Daphnia pulex: one gene and its partner. The protein of the gene in region 1 purifies or fractionates together with the protein of each later gene. This does not show direct contact. Links are inferred from orthologs where the notes say so. Each region holds a gene or a part of one and is shown on either strand. Other genes may lie near its edges. The genes, in order: splicing factor ESS-2 homolog and protein FRA10AC1-like.

Region 1 (10,089 bases):
CCAATCAGAGTGCTGGATAGAAGGCAAAGTTTCACGGATCCACGGCGATCACACAGGTATCCCCAAATAGGACTGGCAATGCTGTTGGCACCGTCTTTCAGACCGAAGAAGATTCCCACGTAAAATGGTGTCAAGTTAAACTGAAAATCCAATAAAAAAAGCTATAAATAATTCGGCTACACAAGGATAAGACAACGTGAGAGCATACCGTTCGCAACACTTGCGGTTCTAGGTTAATCGAGAGAAACCCGTTCGACATAGTCGATACGATGAAAGTGAAGAATGGGATCCAAATTGACGGGATGCACAAAATGGCCATAGGGGATTGCTTTTTACCAGATCCCTCGTCATACTGTGACACTAAAGGAGCGGAGAAACTAAATTAAGACGTTGATAGAGCAGAGTAGAATTGATTGAACCCACCATCATAATCCGGAAGGAAAGGTAATGCAATAAACGCCATAATAGTTTGAATTCCCCCCATGAGGATGAAGGGAGTCTTAAAACCGCCGACTTCATACAAGGCACCGCCGACAATCGGTCCGGCGAGCTGGGCAATGTTCATCATGGTTCGCGTTAGACTCTGCAAATCAATAAAATTAAAATTAGGTTTTAAGAAAGAAATGACTTGAACTTCAAATCTTACAAAGATTTTGGCAACAGAATTGGGGAATTCCACTGCAGTGTAGGTAAATGTTGATGTAATCGTGCCCGCATTTCCAGCCGCGTGGATAACACGAATTAATATAGATATTACGATGAATGACATTCCTTCAGGAAAGTACTCTAAAAATCTGTGAAACATTAAACAGAAAAAATAAAATTATCTTTGTTTCTTGCCCAAAAAATTATTTACCCTGACAACAAGCAGCAGACACCTCCGATGAAAACACCAGAAACAAAAGCGAATCGCACGCCGATAACTTTGAGCTATTAAAAGAAATTAATTACAATGATGTTTTTAAACGAAGCTGATTATCTGTTACATTTTTTCCAATAAAAGGAGTGATAAGAAAAGATGTCAGGCAGTTGGTACCAATGATAAAGCCATATATAGATACTGTAGCACCTTTTTCTTCAGCCTGGGAAATAAAATAATTAGTAAAACTTCTTCACTTATTCAAGAACATGTGGCAGGAATACTTACAATTTTGGGAAAGAATGGGGGGAAAAGGCAAATAGCAAAAGATGATGTGAGGGTAGCCAAAGAAAGAACAGTCAGGAGGAGCCATTGTCTGGGTGTCATTTTCTTCTTTTCTTCTTTATCTACTTCTCCAAAACGTCTATATGTTTTCTTCTTAAGCCCTCCACAACCTCCACCACTACTTTCTGAAGATGCTGTCGACAAGCATCTATCTTTCTTCAAAGCATCATCTTTGATGCTTAACTCCTCACCTTTGGGAGTTATAAGGGTAGATTCAGTCTTTTCTGCCGTTTTCTGCTCCTGGACATGCCGAAGCACTGGTGATGTTTCAGCCATCGAAACTGCCCTATTCTTTTGCTCAGTTTCTGGGTAGGGTGGATAAGGCAGACAAGGCTGCGCCAGGGTTGTGAATGATCCAACATACCCATTCTTTAAACTGCTTGTGCTATCTAACTTTTCCTTAGCTATTATAAATGAAATAGGTAATGGCGTAAGACTTAATGACATGTGACAAGAAATACAAATTGTAATTACCCGATTCACTTTCTGAAGAAACTAAAAGGCTGCTAGCTGATCCAACTGAAGTAGCTGAATGGGCATCAGTCATTCGGATGGGAGAGATCGTAGACTGTGGCATTCCAACAAAATCTACTCTAAGATGAAAAATGGGAATTTACGCGATAGACAAGCGAGACACTGACCGACCACGTGGAGGCTCTTCGATCCACACACTCGTCCTGTCTTTTGCTGCACAGTTCAGATCAGTCGTTGATATACTTGTTGGTTTATCTTTTTCTTGAGAATACAATGAATTCCAATTTCCTCTTAAATAGGCTCAGTAATGGAACGCGAGTTTCCCTCGGTACAACAATGTAGATGCTGTGACAGGAACGATATCGCCTGCTCGACTACTTACGCCCCCAATGACCTGATTGAGAGATTGACCCACCCTCCAATTTCATGGCCGCCTGCTGGCGTTTTCTTTCTCAAGTAAGCAAATTATGCCGATTTTTTAATATCAATTTAACCGCCCCTGCCAAAGGTTGATCCGTGCTAGGTTCGAACTGAATGAAAAGAGTTTAGAAAATAATTAAGGCACCGGAAAACAAGTTTGAAAATTTCGAAGCGTTGTCGGGGAAATAAATCAGATGAAGATAAATTAAATATTATCAGTAAAATACTGAAAAACCTGCACGACTTGTTTAAACCTTGGTTCAAACTGTAAAGAAGTAAATGTAGCACTAAATAACAAAAAGGTAAAGGTTGGGAGCAGTGAACTTTCTTTCCCCCTTCCTTTCGCCAAAGTGACGTCATATTCCCGCCAATAGTTTGGCCTTGCCTTAGTATATCGATAGTTAATATCGATACTTAATTCTTAATTTCGATTTTTCCCTCCAAATTTCAAAAGTCCCCAAAATGTGTGCCATTGCCATTTCACCAAGAAAAATGTAAATTATTTTAATAATTCAAATCCTTCTGAGGCAGGTGCGATTAGCAAATATAGAAGCTAAATAATTGGAATGATAAAATTCCAATTAACAATCATTACAAAAGACTTGCTGGTGTCAGGTGTCAGTTTAAAAAAAAATCTAATAATGGAAGACAAGTTTTTATCAATCGAGGTCATCTCTCAACACCGAAGAAATAAAACGAGAAAGTTCTAGGACATCAATTTATTTTGGCTACGCTAATAATAAGAAGAGCAAAATGTACATTTTAAAAATAGCATCACAGCAATTAATTGCAACACCGCATTCTCTTTATTTCGTCAACCGATTTTGAATGATTGAAGTGGACTTTCTATAATGTCATGACAGTTTCAGTATATAAAGGAGGTCCAAGTTCCAAGAAAGCATCAGTCCTTCTCCTTGGTTGATTCAGCTTCAATTATTGTTCCAAAATGAAGGTAATAACACTTAAATAACTTCTAGTTAAAAATAAAAACATAATAGTTAATTGGCGATTTAAATATTTTGCAGGTTTTTGTTCTTCTTGCTTTGGCATTTACTTGCCTGGCTGATTCTGCAGCAGCTAATCAAGTTTGGTATGATACCGATCCTTATCATAACACTCCTGTTTATAAGAAACCAGAAAATGAACATCAAGGTGGTCACCATCACTCTGAACCCTACGACGTAAGCATAATTTCTAAATTATTAATTTGGTTATAGACGTTATCTTAACGAATTACATTAACCAGGAACATGGAACATACAACTACAATTTCAATGTAAAAGATGCGCATTCCAGCGTTGACTACGGCAAGCAAGAAACTAGTAACGGCAAAGGAGCTGTCTCTGGAAGCTATCACGTCATGCTTCCGGATGGTCGTAAGCAAAAAGTTACCTACCATGCCGACGAGAATGGTTACGTCGCTGACATCCAGTACGAAGGAGAGGCCAAAAACGATGAGACTCCCTATAGCGTTGGATCTTATCCTACTATTTACGCCAAGAAGGATGGAAAAAATGACGAAAATCCCCAACACAACTATCCCGTGAATCATTATCCTTCAACTACGACGGAAAAGTACCACGACACTTATTCTACTACCCCCACAAAGGACCATCAGATGTATCATCACCAAACTCATTACGTCAAAGCCAACATTCCCCACGCCAAGTACCCCGATATTTATTCAACTCCGTACAATACAGGCCATGAGACACATCACACTCCCTACGCCAAGGACAACACGCATTCCGCAACTCCCTACAATAAAGGCCAATACCATCATCAAGCTCCTTACGTCAAAGAACATGGTGCATCTTCCATCAAGTATAATCCCAATCCACACCCCAAGTACCCCCACCATTATTCTACTTCTTACCCTAAAGCCAGCGAGAATTACCAAACTCCTTACGTTAAAAGCCACAGCAACCACCCAGTACCCTACACCCAGTACCCCAAGGGTAGCTATAACCATGGAACTCTCAAAACTGCAAAGTACCATGACATTCATCCTACCACTTACTCTAACGGGCAACTATTAAGTTCCCAAGAAATGCCCAGAAAATAATCCAACCCCCTACAATCTCCACGAATTGTCGACCGTCTACAAGTTAATGAAGCTTGTCGTCCCCAAGATCTTTTAATTTGAGCTTACAATGATTAACATCATTTTCTGAATTACTTATTTAATGTAGTAACTTCTGTACCTAGTAAAATAAAAAAATTGAATGAATATTAAAATTGGTCAAACATGGCAAAGATTGGCAACACAGACGGATGGTCAGTTAATAATCGAATAATCAATGGATGTGATTCTTTCAATTATTAAGAGGAAATCAACGAAAAGACAAATAGTCTTTTCGCCAACCTCATTTGTATTCGCTTCAAGCTTATCAGCCATTTCATTCAGGTCTATCAACAGTCTGCCCCTCAACACTTCAACCAGGTGTAAAGGGGCTATCAAATATTCAATGCTAATTTAAGTGAATGATTTTAAAAGAAATCTTGAGCCTTGCGTTTGGGTAACTGGAGAAGATTGTCGGTCAGATTAGCGGCGCCAGAACCTCGAGCTCGAACAAGCGGTGAGGATCGTGGCGTTCCATAAGATGGAGTGGAAGGTGTCCGTCCATGAATTGGTGTTGGTGTCTCATCTCCCGATCGACGGCGCGGAGTATACGATGCTTGCAAAGCTGGATCGGTGCTGAGGCGGATGCCAAGTTTTGAAGTCGCCAACCGTCGAGCAGCAGGGGACATGAGCGCAATTCTTTGGCTAGTTAATGGATAAGAAAAAAAATTATGTGTAAGGGGCAATTAAAAGCGTAAGGCGATAAGTTTCATTTACCTCAAAGTTCCGGCGGTTTTAGGTGTTCCGCTACTAGAACGGGGTGAAGCCATTGGAGTAGCGGAGGATCGATTTCTTCCACGGCGATCTCGGTAACCTTGGCCGACTTTTTCCGCCAATTTGTGGCCAATTCTGTCCCGCTCGGACACGGGCTGCAGCTGGAAGGCGCCAACTCCAACTGAGGAAGACGGAAGAGGAGTGTCTGAACCATCTAAGCGAAACGGGGTTCCCTCAATTTCTCCCCAAGTCATTAGGGGTGATTCACCAACACCCGGTACTGGCGAAGGTGTTTTCATGAAGTCGAACCCGTTAACTGTGGGTGGCGCGTTGGACTTTATTTCCTTGCCATCAACGTCCACATGACCCTGTCTCGTATTGGTCTGTAATTGAGCTGCTTTATGCAACGCTTCTCTGTTTCGGGATTCGTCGAAAGGGTTCGACTGGTAATGCGTATTGGCGTACTGAATATGATCTTTGTCAAGGGCATATTTCACTCTTTCTTCCAGAGTATATGGGGCTCCTATTGAAGAAGAAGATTGCATGTTCAGATAAGTTTTTTTTATCAAGAAGCAATTCATTTATGTACTTTACCTTCAGGAACATACATAATGGAGTTTTTGACTCTGTATTTCCAGGTTTCAATCAATGCTGGCTTTGAATCCTCAATTGCCTGCTTTTCAATAGATGGAAGGGCCAAAGTCGAATCTTGCTTTGACGTGCTGTTGTCTTCAACATCATATAACCAGGAATACTGAAATCAAATAATAACATTAGGAATAAATTTTTTTAAATTTTGTTTTTAGAAATCATACCTTTAGTCTGTGCTTCCGCTTGGCTTCATCCATCATTTCCTCAAAGCTTTCATTGTCTTCACTTGTATTTTTGAATAGAAATTCATCGAGACTTTCTTGATCATCTATTGCCGTTCTTTTGGATGTGGTGCTAGAGGCACTGTGAACAGACATATAATCTTGAAAATCCCTTGTAGGTGTTTCAAATGTTGATGGGGTGGCGTGTCCTCTACGTGAATCGTGAACACCAGGACCAACACTGTATTTTTCATAAATTTCCCTTAGCTTGACTATATCATTTGTTTCCATAGCTTCTAAATAGGCGGCCTGCACTTGCAACTTGGTCAAATCAGGGAAAAAATCGCGTTGAATAATAGATTCCAGTTTGTGAACGAAGCTGTCTTCATCAAGGACTTTCTTCTTTTTTCTCGGGGCTTGAGCTGCCGAAGGGACTTTAAAAAGCGTCACTTCTTTCTTAACTTGTTGCAATGCTAAATTTTCTCCTTTTTTAAGCTCAGCCATTTTTAATAATTACAGTAGAAACTACACTGTAATAAGAAAACAAGTCAACTTTCCCCCAGAGAGAAAAATTGATTGTGAAACGTCGCGAGCGAAAGACAGCAGACAAAAGGCAAATGCCACATATTTGTGGTGAACCAATTCAACTTCACGTTGCCTAGACAAGTCCCTTTGTGTTTGAGACGATTGGTACGTGATTCACTCTCTTTCCAATCTTAAATTTTGATACTTAATGTAATGCTTTATCTTGTGTCAATTGTCCGTTAAAACGAATTGCCATCGAGGATCACAAATTACTAAAGCTTTTCTTTTGACAATCTTAATTTGTGGCTCTAGGCCTTATGGAAATGGCGCTGCTCCAAACTTGTGTGTAGCTTTCTAATGCGTCTCTTTTTGTTTTTGAAACGAAATAGGTTTTACAAGGCACAATTGTTTTAATGTCTTGACTTTCATCAATGAATGCTGATATTGACCATTCGCGTTCGTCGCGAAGACCAAGGCCTGAAGTTGCTGTTTACCGTCCTGGATCAGGACCTCTGAAAAAGTCAAGCAGCAATGTTGAAAACATACAGCCAGGCAGCAGCCTGCAAGGCACTGGAAGAGCAGACATTGACACTGGTCTTGAATCAAATTTTAGGAATGTCAATTTAAACGATGAGAGCAACAAATCTAAAGATCGGGGTGGTGAGGTTCACACTCAAGAATCCAAAACGAGAAGGACCAACAACCAGAGACAAGATAGAAATTCTGATAAGCCACGAACAGAAAATCACCACCAACAGCACACCAAAAAAAAGAAAGAAGAATTCAAGGAACCCCCTGTCCCGAGTAATCAAGGGAAGAGGCAGCTGTACTACCAAGACAATGTGGATGCAGGATCAAATCAAGACCTTCGACAGCTTCTTCTAGAGAAACAGCAGCAGAGAAGCAATGAATCCCCAGCAACTGGTCACCACGAAAGCAGTCCAACTCCAAATCAGCCTTCAAATGGCAAACAGAAGAATGACAACCGTCAAGAAAGACAGCCAGTCAAGCCAAAAGAAGAAGCGAGGGCAAGCCAGCCTAGCGACCCTTTCCCACCGAATAACGTTTCAAAATCTGCATCCATTGATTCGTCCCTGCTCTCAAGGCAGAGTGATAAAAGAAGTTCAGGCAGACGCCGAAACGATCGCAAACCTCGAGTGGAGAATTCGTTTTCCGATGGACACCTTGCTTCTTTAACTAACAACAATTCTTCAGCAGCAGCTACGAAACCGCCCTCATCCAAAACTTTTGAAGAGAAGACGGCTACAAGTGGTAGTTGGAACGATTCAGAGAGAAGCAAGAACAATAGTAAAGACAAACGAGACGGTAAGTTAAAATTGACGATTTAAACGGTTATTATTTTCTAACGGAATTGTTTGTATTGAAGGAAGTGGACGCAGTGGCAGTGGTAGGAAGAAACGAAACAATCGCGGTCCTGGAGGCAGTCGACGAGGATCTTTTTCTAGTGAAGCTGGAACCCCGGTTCCCGATCGTGATGTCAGAGGCACAAGTAGCACTTCCAGACCAGACGATTACAACTATTACCAGTCGACTACGCCAACTCGGTTCGTTCTTCTGGTGGACGAAGATAAACTTACGAAGAGAGCTGGAGGAAGTGGTGGATACTACCAGGCCACTGGTTCCAGTCGAAGCCGCCACACATCCAGCCCTCAAAGCAGCAACAGCAGGAACGGGATGATTGCAGAGGAGAATCCCGTTGCCAACGCAGTGTCTCCAACGAGCACTTCACGTCGCCCGCCATCGATCACCTCGCCATCGCCATCACCGTCACCTGGTTATCGTCAGAGTTCAGAACCGCCCGGCAACCCTAAATTCCAAGGCCAAGCGCAGAAGAATTCTGGGCGAGACCAGAGAAGGGAAGGACTCTTTGATGAGAGATCTCAGGACTCTTACCGGTCCGACGGAAGACCCCCATCCGGCCGTGGTGGATACTCTAAGAACGAACGCCCTTCGCTGCCCAACAAATACGATTCGCTTCCACCTCGTTTCAAGAAGAAATACGAAGAGGATCGCCTGCATCAATCGCAACCTGACCGGGTTCCTCAAACGGCCGTCCATCCGAGTCCAGTCGAAACCGAATGGGATGGCGGTTCTTGTACTTTTGTCAACATTTCCGGAGCCCCGGCAGTTCGACCATCGTTGCCTCATCCTTTCCCGCAATCATTGCCTCATGTCCCCAGCATCCGGCCGCACCATCCACCCCAACAACATCATCGACCAGGGTCTGGTGGAGGTGGCAAAGCGATCCGAGGCCAAGGGCGGTATCAGCAAGCCACAGGATTCGCTGCCAAAACAATGCCATTGTCTGATCAGGCGGAAGATTCCGATCCTGTTCATGTTCCTGTACGACCTCGCAGTCAAGATTCCATGTCGTTCTCCGATCGGGAACGCAAAACATCGGTGACGGACTCTAGGAGCTCGACGCCTTTGTCCAACGTCGACAGCAGTTCCGGCTTGCAGTCCCACCTGCGTGGCACTCTTCGACGACTGGAGGAAGTGACGGCCACTCAGACGTCGCTGGATTGGAGCGAAGAAATGGAAGAAGAAGACAAGAGAAGCCTAGCTGGATACCGACAAGCTCCACCGGCCAGACTTCCGGAAAAAGTTCCGGAGATCGTCTTTGCCTGTACGGATATTCGTTACAAGAATAAACCCATTCAAGGATACATCGTCCTCCCATCGGCAGCTTCTTCCACCAACGGAGTGGATGTCGACCGACAGACTGGACCTACCCCTCCACCGATGACTGGGCGACCTCTCCTGGGCCAGGGTCGTAGGCAGGAAGCGGGTAAGAGCGGACCACCGCGAATGTCCGTTCCAGGGTTGATCCAGCTGCCAATAGGTCCTCCACCGTCGATGGAACAATCGCGCCTTTCCTCTTCGCCCAGGCGAAGTGATTTCACGGCTCCTTCGGCCTCCTCGTACGACAGATCGTCCATTCCTCGTCAGCAGGATCATAACCGTGGTGGTGGTGACGTGGCCAATCGTTCCTATCCTCGCAAAACTGGCCCAGTGCAGCAGCGCACCCTGTTTGATCCTGCCAATCCGCACAAGCCGATTGTGGTGGCCACCAGAGCCGATGACGGACCGAATAGCCAACAATCGACGGCCGCATCGTCGCTAGGTTGCCCGGAAATGACTTTCCTGACTCTTCCGGCTGATCAAAGCAACGTCAATTCTTCTGCAAGGCCAGCGTGGTACGACCCACAGTCTGAAAAGTAATTACAAGGAATAAATTAACTCGTTTCTTATTCTTCCGAGTATTTTCTATTTGCTCATTTCATTGACGTCACTTGGTAATTTCGTTGTTGTCTCCTCCAGTTTCCGGAGCAGCAAAAGTCATCCGCACCTCCTTATGGACATGGCCCGTTGCGACATGGAGTTGTCGTGGTTGCTTCACGGTCAAGGTCTCCACCAGCGGTTCGGCCGCATCCAGATGAACAGGTTTGTAAAATTTTTTTTTACGGATGACGACATTTCACAATTGTTGGCCTCATTAAATTCGGTCCAGGTATTTTTAACATTTTCTTTTGTTTTTTTGATTTGATTGGTTCCGTCATTGCAACAGGAAATTCTTCCAGAACAGCTTGCGGATCATGTTGGCCAATGATTTGCGCTTCTGCGCTATGGAGAACGTTGAGCAGCACATGTGGAAGGTGGCATTCCACAATGTCATTGAAGCATTGCGCAAGGCCACGGCCGAAGAACCCGAAGCCAAAGAGGAATACAGGTCGCTCCTGTTCAACGTCATTGACGAGGTATAATTGTTTGGATCATTACATCATTTCGCTTGTTTA
Region 2 (9,443 bases), on another chromosome or scaffold:
AATGAAGGCTGTCCAAGAGTTGGCAGGCCATGCCACCGATCCTACTTTCACGGCCGAATTCACAGAGAAGCAAGGCATGAAAATGTTGATTGCCTACATTGAAAACATGGAGACGGGCAAACCATCCGACCAGATTACAGCCCTTCTTCTCCCGGCCTTTGTCGATCTGATGGATCACGGACTAACGCAGTGGGATGTCTTGGAACCGTCGTTCATCAAGAAGATCGCATTTTACATCAACAGTCAGGCGAGCGCACAGGATCCGCGGACTCTTCAGGCGGCCCTGTCCATTCTGGAGAGCATTGCACATAATTCGAGTACCAAGTACGCGATAGTCGAAAAGGAGTTGACCATTCCCAATCTGGCGATGCATCTGCAAAACGCATCGGCAGCCATTCAGCAAAACACTTTGGCGTTGATCAACGCTCTTTTCCTCAAAGCCGATGATTCCAAGCGAACAGCCATGAGCAAAACCATCAACTCTCGCCAGATTCGTAATACGATCGTCATGAGCATCATTCAAGGTATTTTCGTTGATTAAACACCTTTTGTTCCGCTGGTGAGACGACTTTCTGTGTTATTTTCTAGTGCCTGGAGTAGCGAGCGGTAATGAGGTTGCCCACCAACTGCACGTACTCCAAACGCTGCTGTTGAACGTGCTGGAAGAGCCAATGAACCGGCCAATTGAATCGGGAGACGTCGAGGCTCTCGAGAAGATCAGAGAACTGCGGCGAATTGCATTTGACAACGACGGCAGCGACTCTGTCACTCCCGTCAAAGACGTGGTCACTCGCAAACAGGTCATTCCGCGAGATTTCCGCAAATTAGGATTCAGGAACGACGCAACTCCACTCAACGATTTCGGTAAGAATATTCGAGAGAAAAAAAATCCGTGGGCGCGGATCCTTGATTACTAAACTTGTCTCGTACAGCTCAGGTTCCACCGGGTGCATTAGCTCTCGATGCAATGCACTACTTTGCTCTCTACCATCCGGAAAAATACTCGAGAGTGGTGCTGGAGAATTCGGGACGAGGCGACGACTATGATTGTCCATTTGCCCGAGCCGCCATCGAACTAACCAAATTATTGTGCGAAATTCTCAAGGTAATTGAAATCTACCATCTTCATGGTTACACCAAGTATCATTTTAAATATATTTCTGAAATTTCCAACAGATTGGGGAAGCACCGACTGAGCAAGGGACGTCGTTTCACCCCATGTTCTTTAATCACGACCACCCGTTTGAGGAGCTCTTTTGCATTTGCCTGGTGGTGGTGAACAAGACGTGGAAGGAAATGCGAGCAACAGTTGAAGATTTCGCCAAAGTATTCTCGGTTGTTCGCGAGCAAATCACGCGCGTTCTAGCCGGACGCCCTCCGTCACAGGAAATATTCAAGGAGCGGATAGCTGCACTCACCTACGCTGAAATCACGGATTTGTGGCAACAGGAGCGTACAAGTCGTGAGAAATGGGAGTCCAGGTCACGGCCCATTATGGAATTGCGCCAACAAATCGAGCCGGAAATTCTCGAACTCATTCAGCAACAGAGACTAGGATTCCTCACAGAGGGCACTCGCTTCAGCAAGTACACCAATCGAGGGGTAATCAAAAAGTGTTCTATTACAAAATTCATCAATAAAATATAATTAATCATTGACAGAGGGTCAAGGACAAGTTTTGGTACGTTCGCCTGTCGCCTAATCACCGAGTCTTGCATTACGGCGATTGCGATGAAAAGAGCGTTCCGGCACTAGACGAATTGAAGGAGAAATTGTCCATTGTCGACATCCGCACTCTGGTCACCGGAAAAGATTGCCCACACATGAAAGATCTAAAGTGAGTTTCCTGACCAACAATTAAAGAATAAATAACATTGACAATGAAATTCTTTTCTTAGGGGTAAGAAGACAACGTCGCAATTTCCATTTTCGTTGATGCTCGATTCTCATGATGTGGGATCGCTGGATTTCGTGGCACCCGATCAGCAAACGTTCGACTACTGGGTAGATGGAATCAATGCACTTCTAGGTCCGTATTTCAAAGATAAAATACAATTCAATCACAATTTTTACAAATTCAAACTTTACAGGCAATAAAATGACGAGCAAAGAGGCCATGGCCGATTTGGAATTTCTACTGTCGATGAACACAAAACTCAGGTTGCTCGACGTGGAAGGATTGGACTTGCCCGAAGAGCCGCCAGCCATACCCCGCGAACCCACCAATTACGATTTCGCCGTGGAGATCAAGTAGAAGATCTGATTCGCATGTGGCAGGAGTGTGGACACAACAATTTACCTAGTCGTTCCTAATGAAGAAAGAACAAAAATCCCAGGCTGTCTTCCCAATTCCAGTACCTTTCGCCTTTTATTAAATCGATGTGGTGGAGATCTCGATTGCTTTTTAAATAATTAGCATTTACCTCAGAATGAAATCAGTCGTTGAGGCAAAAAGAAATCACAAAAGGTATGAGCTGTCTCAATGAGTTATCATCATAATATTTTGACTGGTGAATTTACAGGATGCAAAATACAACATACGAGTGTTTTAATTTTTACCGCCAATCACGTTTGTTACTATACTTTTCTTAACTAATCCAATTTAGTCAATTTTAGAGCTTTTGCAGAGAAATAATCGTTGAGAGTGTTATGGTAAAAACCGAGCTACTGAGTCACCAACACAATATTTGAACAATATGGGTATTTTTCTTCATCGCTATTTCATTTTATCTCAACGTATTATCGTCTACTTTTATATCGTTGTAAACGGATCGTTTAAAGTGCCGCGCTGGCCAGTTTACTTGTTTGCCAACTGACTCATTCGCCTTTAATAATCTTTCCGTGTAACTATTTTTTCTAATCAATCTTCAAGTTACATAGCGGCGGCATGGATCACAATTCGTGGAAAACTTGAAAAGGCAATAAAACGTGCCTTTGTGTTCAACGATCCCGTTTCCAGCCCGTGAAAAATCAACTTATCAAAATGACGCTGAGCTGCCACGTGCACTTTTTGGTTTGGGAACGATGATACGCAGACAAGAAGCCACGCCCCTACAAGTTGTATACAAATGCGGACTACAAGTACTTGAGGACGTCGGAAAAGACCTCACACACGGTTATGTGACTCTTGGCAAGTGCTGACATTCAAATTAATCGGTCCGATTAGTAAGCAACACTCGGCGTAATTAGGAACATGACGTTTTTGGAGATCTGGATCCGCCAATTTTGGCAATCCGTTGTTAAATGGATCTTTCGCATCTATTACCAGCGAGTCGATGACAAATCGAAACGAATTTCGTCCTATTTGTCACCTCGGCCGACCAGCGTCAATTACCATTTTACCCGCCAATGCAACTACAAGTGTGGATTCTGTTTTCACACGGCCAAATCGAGTTTCGTTTTACCTCTGGAAGAAGCCATGCGGGGACTCCGGCTCCTCCATGAAGCAGGTAAGAATTGAGCTGGTCATATTTCAATCATTGATTTCTCCATTGTTGAATTCGTACGTTTACGCAGGAATGGAAAAGATCAACTTCTCGGGTGGAGAGCCGTTTATTCATCAGAAAGGTCGCTATTTGGGCCAGCTTGTTCAATTCTGCAAGCGGGAACTGGGACTGGCCAGCGTCAGTATCGTCAGCAATGGCAGTCTCATCACCGAAGACTGGTTCATTCGATTCGGTGAATATCTCGACATTTTGGCCGTTTCTTGCGACAGTTTTAAGGTCGAGACCAATCATTTGATTGGCCGTCACCGGAATGGCAACAAAATTCAAACCGGTGACGAAGGAAGTGAACACCTGGAAAGTTTGGAACGGGTGAGAGGATGGTGTCGGGATTATCGAGTCGCCTTCAAAATCAATTCCGTCATTAATGTACACAATGTCGACGAGGACATGAACAGTCAGATCCATCAACTGAATCCCGTCCGTTGGAAAGTAAGAAAATCATTTTTTTTTTAAATAAGCATGTCGTGAAATGATTATAAAGAATAATTATTTACAGGTGTTCCAATGTTTGCTCATCGGCGGAGAAAATCAAGGTGAGGAGGCTTTACGTAACGCGGAGAAATTAGTTATTTCAGATCAACAGTTTGAGACTTTTCTACAGCGTCATTCGGGCGTGGCTTGTTTGGTTCCCGAATCCAATATCAAAGTACGTAAATAACTTTTTAAAATTCTTGATTATTTTACATTTTAATTCAATGTGCTGTTATTTTTAGATGCGCAATTCTTATTTGATTTTGGACGAGAGGGTAATCTGTTATTAAAAGATGTAATTTTTGATTAAATCAACATAATTTGTTCATTTTAATTTTCAGATGAGATTCCTTGATTGTACAAACGGGCAAAAGACTCCATCGCCGTCCCTGCTGGACGTCGGTGTGGAAGCGGCCATCCACTGGAGTGGTTTTGACGAAGAAATGTTCTTCCAGCGTGGAGGCAAATATACTTGGAGTAAGTCCGATATGTCTCCATCTCTGTTAGAGTGGTGAAATCGATGATATCGTAAACGTCTGACACTTGACAAATTTCCACTCAGCCAAAGATTTTTCTTTTAAAAAAGAATGTGTACCTCTTTCTTTTCTAAGAAATACAAAATGACTGCAATCGTACAATCTTTTGAGTTTAACAGTGCGGAATGAATAGGGTTGCCTAAAAAGTCAACGAGAGTATATCCATTAAGGTACCATAATTCCTGAAATCAAATTATCATACCTAGTTATTTTGTTTTCCAAACGATGTCCCATTTAGAAAAAATTTTTACCTTTTTTTTAGGGGTAAATAAGGTAATTGGACTGTGTATCAAGCGAGATTGCATATGGAACATTTCAATCACTTATCAAATTACGTATGGCCGATGGAAAGATGAGTGCCGTGACGTGTCGTTTACTTTTGAAAAGAGACTAATTCTTTGTATTCTGTTGTAGTCTTTTTTTCTAGGATTTATTTCTTTAAATTATATACAATCATAACATTTTGTCGCATTTTGTATTCGTGAAATTGGCACGGCAACCGGTCCGTGCGAGGAAGAGTCCTTATGAATTTGGGTAGTTTTTCACCATTATTTTGATACGAATGAATTGGTTATTATCGTGTCTTTGGGCTACTGACCGAGATTCTCTTATATTGCCGTTTGCATTATTCAAAACAATTTTGCCGCGTGTAACGTTTTGCATTCTAATTGAATGTGAATGGTAGAACGGAACATAGATGGCGTTGTCGACGGAAGTAAATAAATAAAAACAAACCGGGATTGTTTTGACGGTTGTGAGAACTTCGTACTTTCAGATCTAACTTCTAATCCTATCAACTCTAACTATAATTTTGAATACAGCATGTCATCTCGTAACTCGCGGCGAGGTTCTCCACTTGAGGTTGGTCGTTAAGATCTCATTTATCAGATCTCATTTCCCCTAGTCAAAAGTCTAGTGGAACTGAACAATTTTGAATAACTCTTTATCTGATTTGAAATCATCCTAGTTAGATGCTGGAGGATATGATTCCAGTTATGAAGGAGATGAAGAGGAAAACAAAAGGAAAAAAAGAAAGAAGGATTGGGTTGTGAAAGAAAAACCAAAAAGTGAAGGTAATGTGTAGTTTTTTAATGCAGTACTGACTGTCTCACAAACTTTTACTCTGAATACATTTTTTAAATAACAGGTTTAGTTTCCAAATCTGCTTTCACTGAGCAATATGCACAAGAAGCCAGACGAAGTATGCAATCACAATTGAGGGGGTTAACAGCTTACGACAGGCACAAGCTTCTCATCAACGAATACTACCTCTCCATACCTGGAGGAGCTGATATGCTGAAACGTGACAAGTATGTGAAATATTCTTCTTCTTACCCAAACAATTTAATTACAGTAATTTTTTACTCTTTACTTTAGGACAAGAGATAAAAGAGATTTTGACATCATCAAAGAGAATCATCAATTTTTGTGGGAAGAAGACGACACGATCGACACCTGGGGAAAACAGATAGCCAAAAAGTACCACGACAAGCTTTTCAAAGAATACTGTATTTGTGACCTCAGAAGATACAAGGAAAACAAGGTATACTGAAATGAAAATCTCGAATTATTCAAAATATGTATTTTTATTATTTCATCCGCTAGGTTGGCATTCGATGGAGAGTTGAAAAGGAGGTCGTCACGGGTAAAGGGCAATTCAGTTGCGGGGAACAGAATTGCCCACAAAAGGATAACTTGAGGACTTGGGAGATTAATTTTGCCTACGTGGAACATGGAGTGAGAAAGAATTCGCTAGTAAAAATTCGTAAGTTACACAAGTTTCATATTTCTTTCGATTTAATTTGCAACTTTAATTTAAAGGTTTGTGTAACGATTGTTCACATAATCTTAATTTCCATCACAAGAGGAAAGAAGTTACAAAGAAGAAGAAGATCAAGAAGGAAACGAAGAGTAAGCGATCATCGAAGGATCGAAGAAAGAGTGAAGGCGGTGAGCCAAGCACCGAGGAACCGGCTCCGGGAACCAGTAAAGATGGCGTGACTGAAGCTGACGAGCCATCTTCTGCTAATCCTGGTAAAACTCAAGAACTCAGCGACAGTACAGATATTTGGCGCGAGGGCCAACAGACAACCGAAGACAAATCACGCGACGACGAGTTTGAAGAGTTTTTAGAAGATTTGTTTCTTTGAAACACAATATACTTGACGATCTCGAACAAACTTGAATGATTTTATTAATCGATAATTTTCAGTTGAAAGGGTTACATACGTCCAGCATACGTCGGGCCGTGAAAGTACGTGATGTATCCTTTAAACACTTCCTATATTTTCAAATAATTAATATTTCAATGGTTTTTCAATGAACATTATTTGTAAATTTAAAATTTTTGATAATATGATTGAATCCTTAATCCACCTAAATATCAATTATGTTTATGGCCTGTGCAAAGGTCATGAAACTGGTTTGCGTATGATGTCGAGCAGATGACACATTATATAAAGCCGTCGGTGAGTCATCATAGATACTTATCCATTGTCTGGCGAATAAATGGCTAATCCGAAAGATATCACAGAGACCGAAAACACTGAAGACTCCGAAATCCTAGAGGTCTCCGAGGAGGACGAAAGTGATGTAGAAACAGAATCGGAGAATCCTGAAGTGGAAGATGATCAGCAGGAATCGCACTGCAGCACATATGGCTGTCGCTATTTTCTCCTTACAGTAGCGATATTTTACTTCGGCATTATTGGTATGGCTTGGTTTTTCATGTACTTGGGCAGATTTTCCATTCTACGAGGATTTCAATATGTTACGAACACATTCAACTCGACTTTCTCTTTTGAAAATTTGACAACAGCTGGACGTGATCCGCCTGCCTAAACTGTCGGCATCGAAAGACAACGGGAAGAAGGATATATTAACACCGATTTCTGCCCTCCCCTGTTGGTATTAAACGATTCATTCAATTGTTACGTCAACGTAGCTAATAAAACACAAATTTACAGTTCTTATTTTCGTTTATTTTATTTATTAAATGGCTCTATCCCCCCCCCCCACTCCCTCCATCGTTTTTTGAAACTCGAGACAGAGCCCAGAGGATTCGGTTGTAAAATGTTACAAACTGCTGAGTGCTGACTTAAACAGCAAAACAAGTTAGCATATTTCACTGTTGATTTCTAGTTCTTCAAATTACTATATTGTGCGTCGCTTGGTGTTTCAGTGTTTCCACAACATTCTATAAAAACAATTGATGATCGTCGAAGGTCACGAACCATTGATCACGTGATTTAGTCGACCAATCACCCTGTAATCTCTTCAAACGTTCTTGCATCTTTTGAAAAATTTCAGTTAAAAAAAACGATTATGTAAATTAAGAATAGATTGTTTTACTTGTCTCCTTCCTAACATTTTTTCTTTATTACTATTATTTTTTGTTTAAGCGTTTAAGTTACAATTTAAAAATTTACCACCAGCCCACCAGGGTTGGACTTGAAGTACATTACAGTCGACATCGTCAGTTCGTCTGTGGCAGCCAACGTGTTAGAACGTCTCTGTACGTCTCTGTTTCTTAAACCACGCTTCCGTAATCTTCATTCACGGTGATTTTGTAGGTAATTGATGATTTTGAGTGGGTGTTTTCTTAATTTTAAGTACAGTATTAACCTGCTATAAACAAACAAACTCAAATTTATTTACAAAATGAAATGAGAAACAGCTTAAATCAATTATCTATGAGTCATCAGCGCCATGTGCTCCATTGCAACTGTTCATATTGCATCGTTTCATAATGTAACTGAATTTTTTTTTATTTTTATTTGGAAGATTGTTTTAGGAAAAGAGTTGACAAGAGAGACTTAAAATATTCATTTCCACCATGGGCCGAGTTAATAAAAAGAAATTGTCTGAAGATTCTGAACCTGAGGAAGTCAGTGTAGTGGAGCCAGAATACGAAGTTGAAAAAGTTGTGGATAGAAGGTAAGCTAGCTTACTTGCAGATTGCTTTTCTTGATAAGAAAATAACCATCTTATTTTATAATTATTCTAGAGAAATTCAAGGGAAGGTGGAGTACCTCTTAAAATGGAAAGGTTATGAAGATGAAGAGAACACCTGGGAGCCTGTCGATGCATTAGATTGCCATGAATTAATTGCTGAATTTGAAAAAAAGAGAAAAGAAAAATTGGACCAACCCAAAAAGAAAACAGAAGGTACCATCAAGGAAAATAAACGTTCAACATCCATCAAAGACAAACCAGCAAAAGTGAAGGCAGCTGGAAAGAAAAAAGACCAAGAGGTTAGATTTTTAGTGTTCAATCTTTAATTCATTTAAGGGGAAATTCTTGTTTGATGTAAAGAACTTAAGATTTAAACTATTTTTATTTCCCCATATTTGACTATGTAACAGGACCAACCCCAACCACCACGTGGAGTCGAACTCGGCCTTGAGGCTGAGGCGATTTTAGGCTTAACCGATACTTATGATGACGACGAGCCTGGTGAACTTCATTTCCTCATCAGATGGTTAGCTCTTCTCGTTTCTCCTTTTAATAATTTTCTATCCCAGCTTATCAAATGTTTCATTGAATTTACTAACATGGTTTCAAATCTTATAGGAAAGATCAAGATGTGCCTGAATTTGTTCCTGCTGAAAAAGCATATGTTTTATTTCCTCAAATGGTCATCAAATTCTACGAAAGCAAACTTATTTGGGGTGAAAAAAAAAATTAAAAGTAAGACGAATGCTTACAGAAATAATTCCCCTTTTATTTTAATCTTCAAAAATGCACGATCGTGCAATGCCATGTTTAAGAAGAATGAGCTGGTTGATAGATCCTGATCTTACTGCCCACTTCAGAAACACAGATCCTTTTTCTTCCTTCTCTATTGTTTAGCCCTCCACATCTTTCTCTTATCAACCATATCTTAGTATTATCTAGCAAGTGATGAAACAGCTTTTATGTTCATTATACT

The links.
Region 2: the proteins of splicing factor ESS-2 homolog (region 1) and protein FRA10AC1-like purify together in Homo sapiens (co-immunoprecipitation; 3 studies listed by BioGRID and IntAct, counting the BioPlex papers as one, with this or other methods). This does not show direct contact. The link is inferred for Daphnia pulex from reciprocal best matches to the Homo sapiens genes ESS2 and FRA10AC1.

What each region holds. Positions count from the first base shown.
Region 1 is NC_060025.1:1,559,047-1,569,135, forward strand, and holds splicing factor ESS-2 homolog, read right to left. Parts: upstream 6,251-10,089; coding exon 5,750-6,250; intron 5,689-5,749; coding exon 5,529-5,688; intron 5,458-5,528; coding exon 4,938-5,457; intron 4,866-4,937; coding exon 4,589-4,865; 3' UTR 4,409-4,588; downstream 1-4,408. Other genes in the region: MFS-type transporter SLC18B1-like, read right to left, coding at 1-140, 209-360, 424-583, 647-794, 857-930, 987-1,082, 1,148-1,608, 1,679-1,781; adhesive plaque matrix protein-like, read left to right, coding at 3,045-3,050, 3,124-3,279, 3,345-4,163. UniProt on the Homo sapiens protein: May be involved in pre-mRNA splicing.
Region 2 is NC_060023.1:12,001,060-12,010,502, reverse strand, and holds protein FRA10AC1-like, read left to right. Parts: upstream 1-5,220; 5' UTR 5,221-5,335; coding exon 5,336-5,374; intron 5,375-5,480; coding exon 5,481-5,586; intron 5,587-5,660; coding exon 5,661-5,823; intron 5,824-5,890; coding exon 5,891-6,056; intron 6,057-6,118; coding exon 6,119-6,278; intron 6,279-6,334; coding exon 6,335-6,663; 3' UTR 6,664-6,693; downstream 6,694-9,443. Other genes in the region: uncharacterized protein LOC124196619, read left to right, coding at 1-524, 589-864, 933-1,105, 1,177-1,602, 1,662-1,837, 1,899-2,029, 2,091-2,254; radical S-adenosyl methionine domain-containing protein 2-like, read left to right, coding at 3,194-3,449, 3,517-3,935, 4,003-4,152, 4,220-4,252, 4,319-4,492; chromobox protein homolog 1-like, read left to right, coding at 8,349-8,449, 8,520-8,766, 8,878-8,993, 9,086-9,200. UniProt on the Homo sapiens protein: May be involved in pre-mRNA splicing.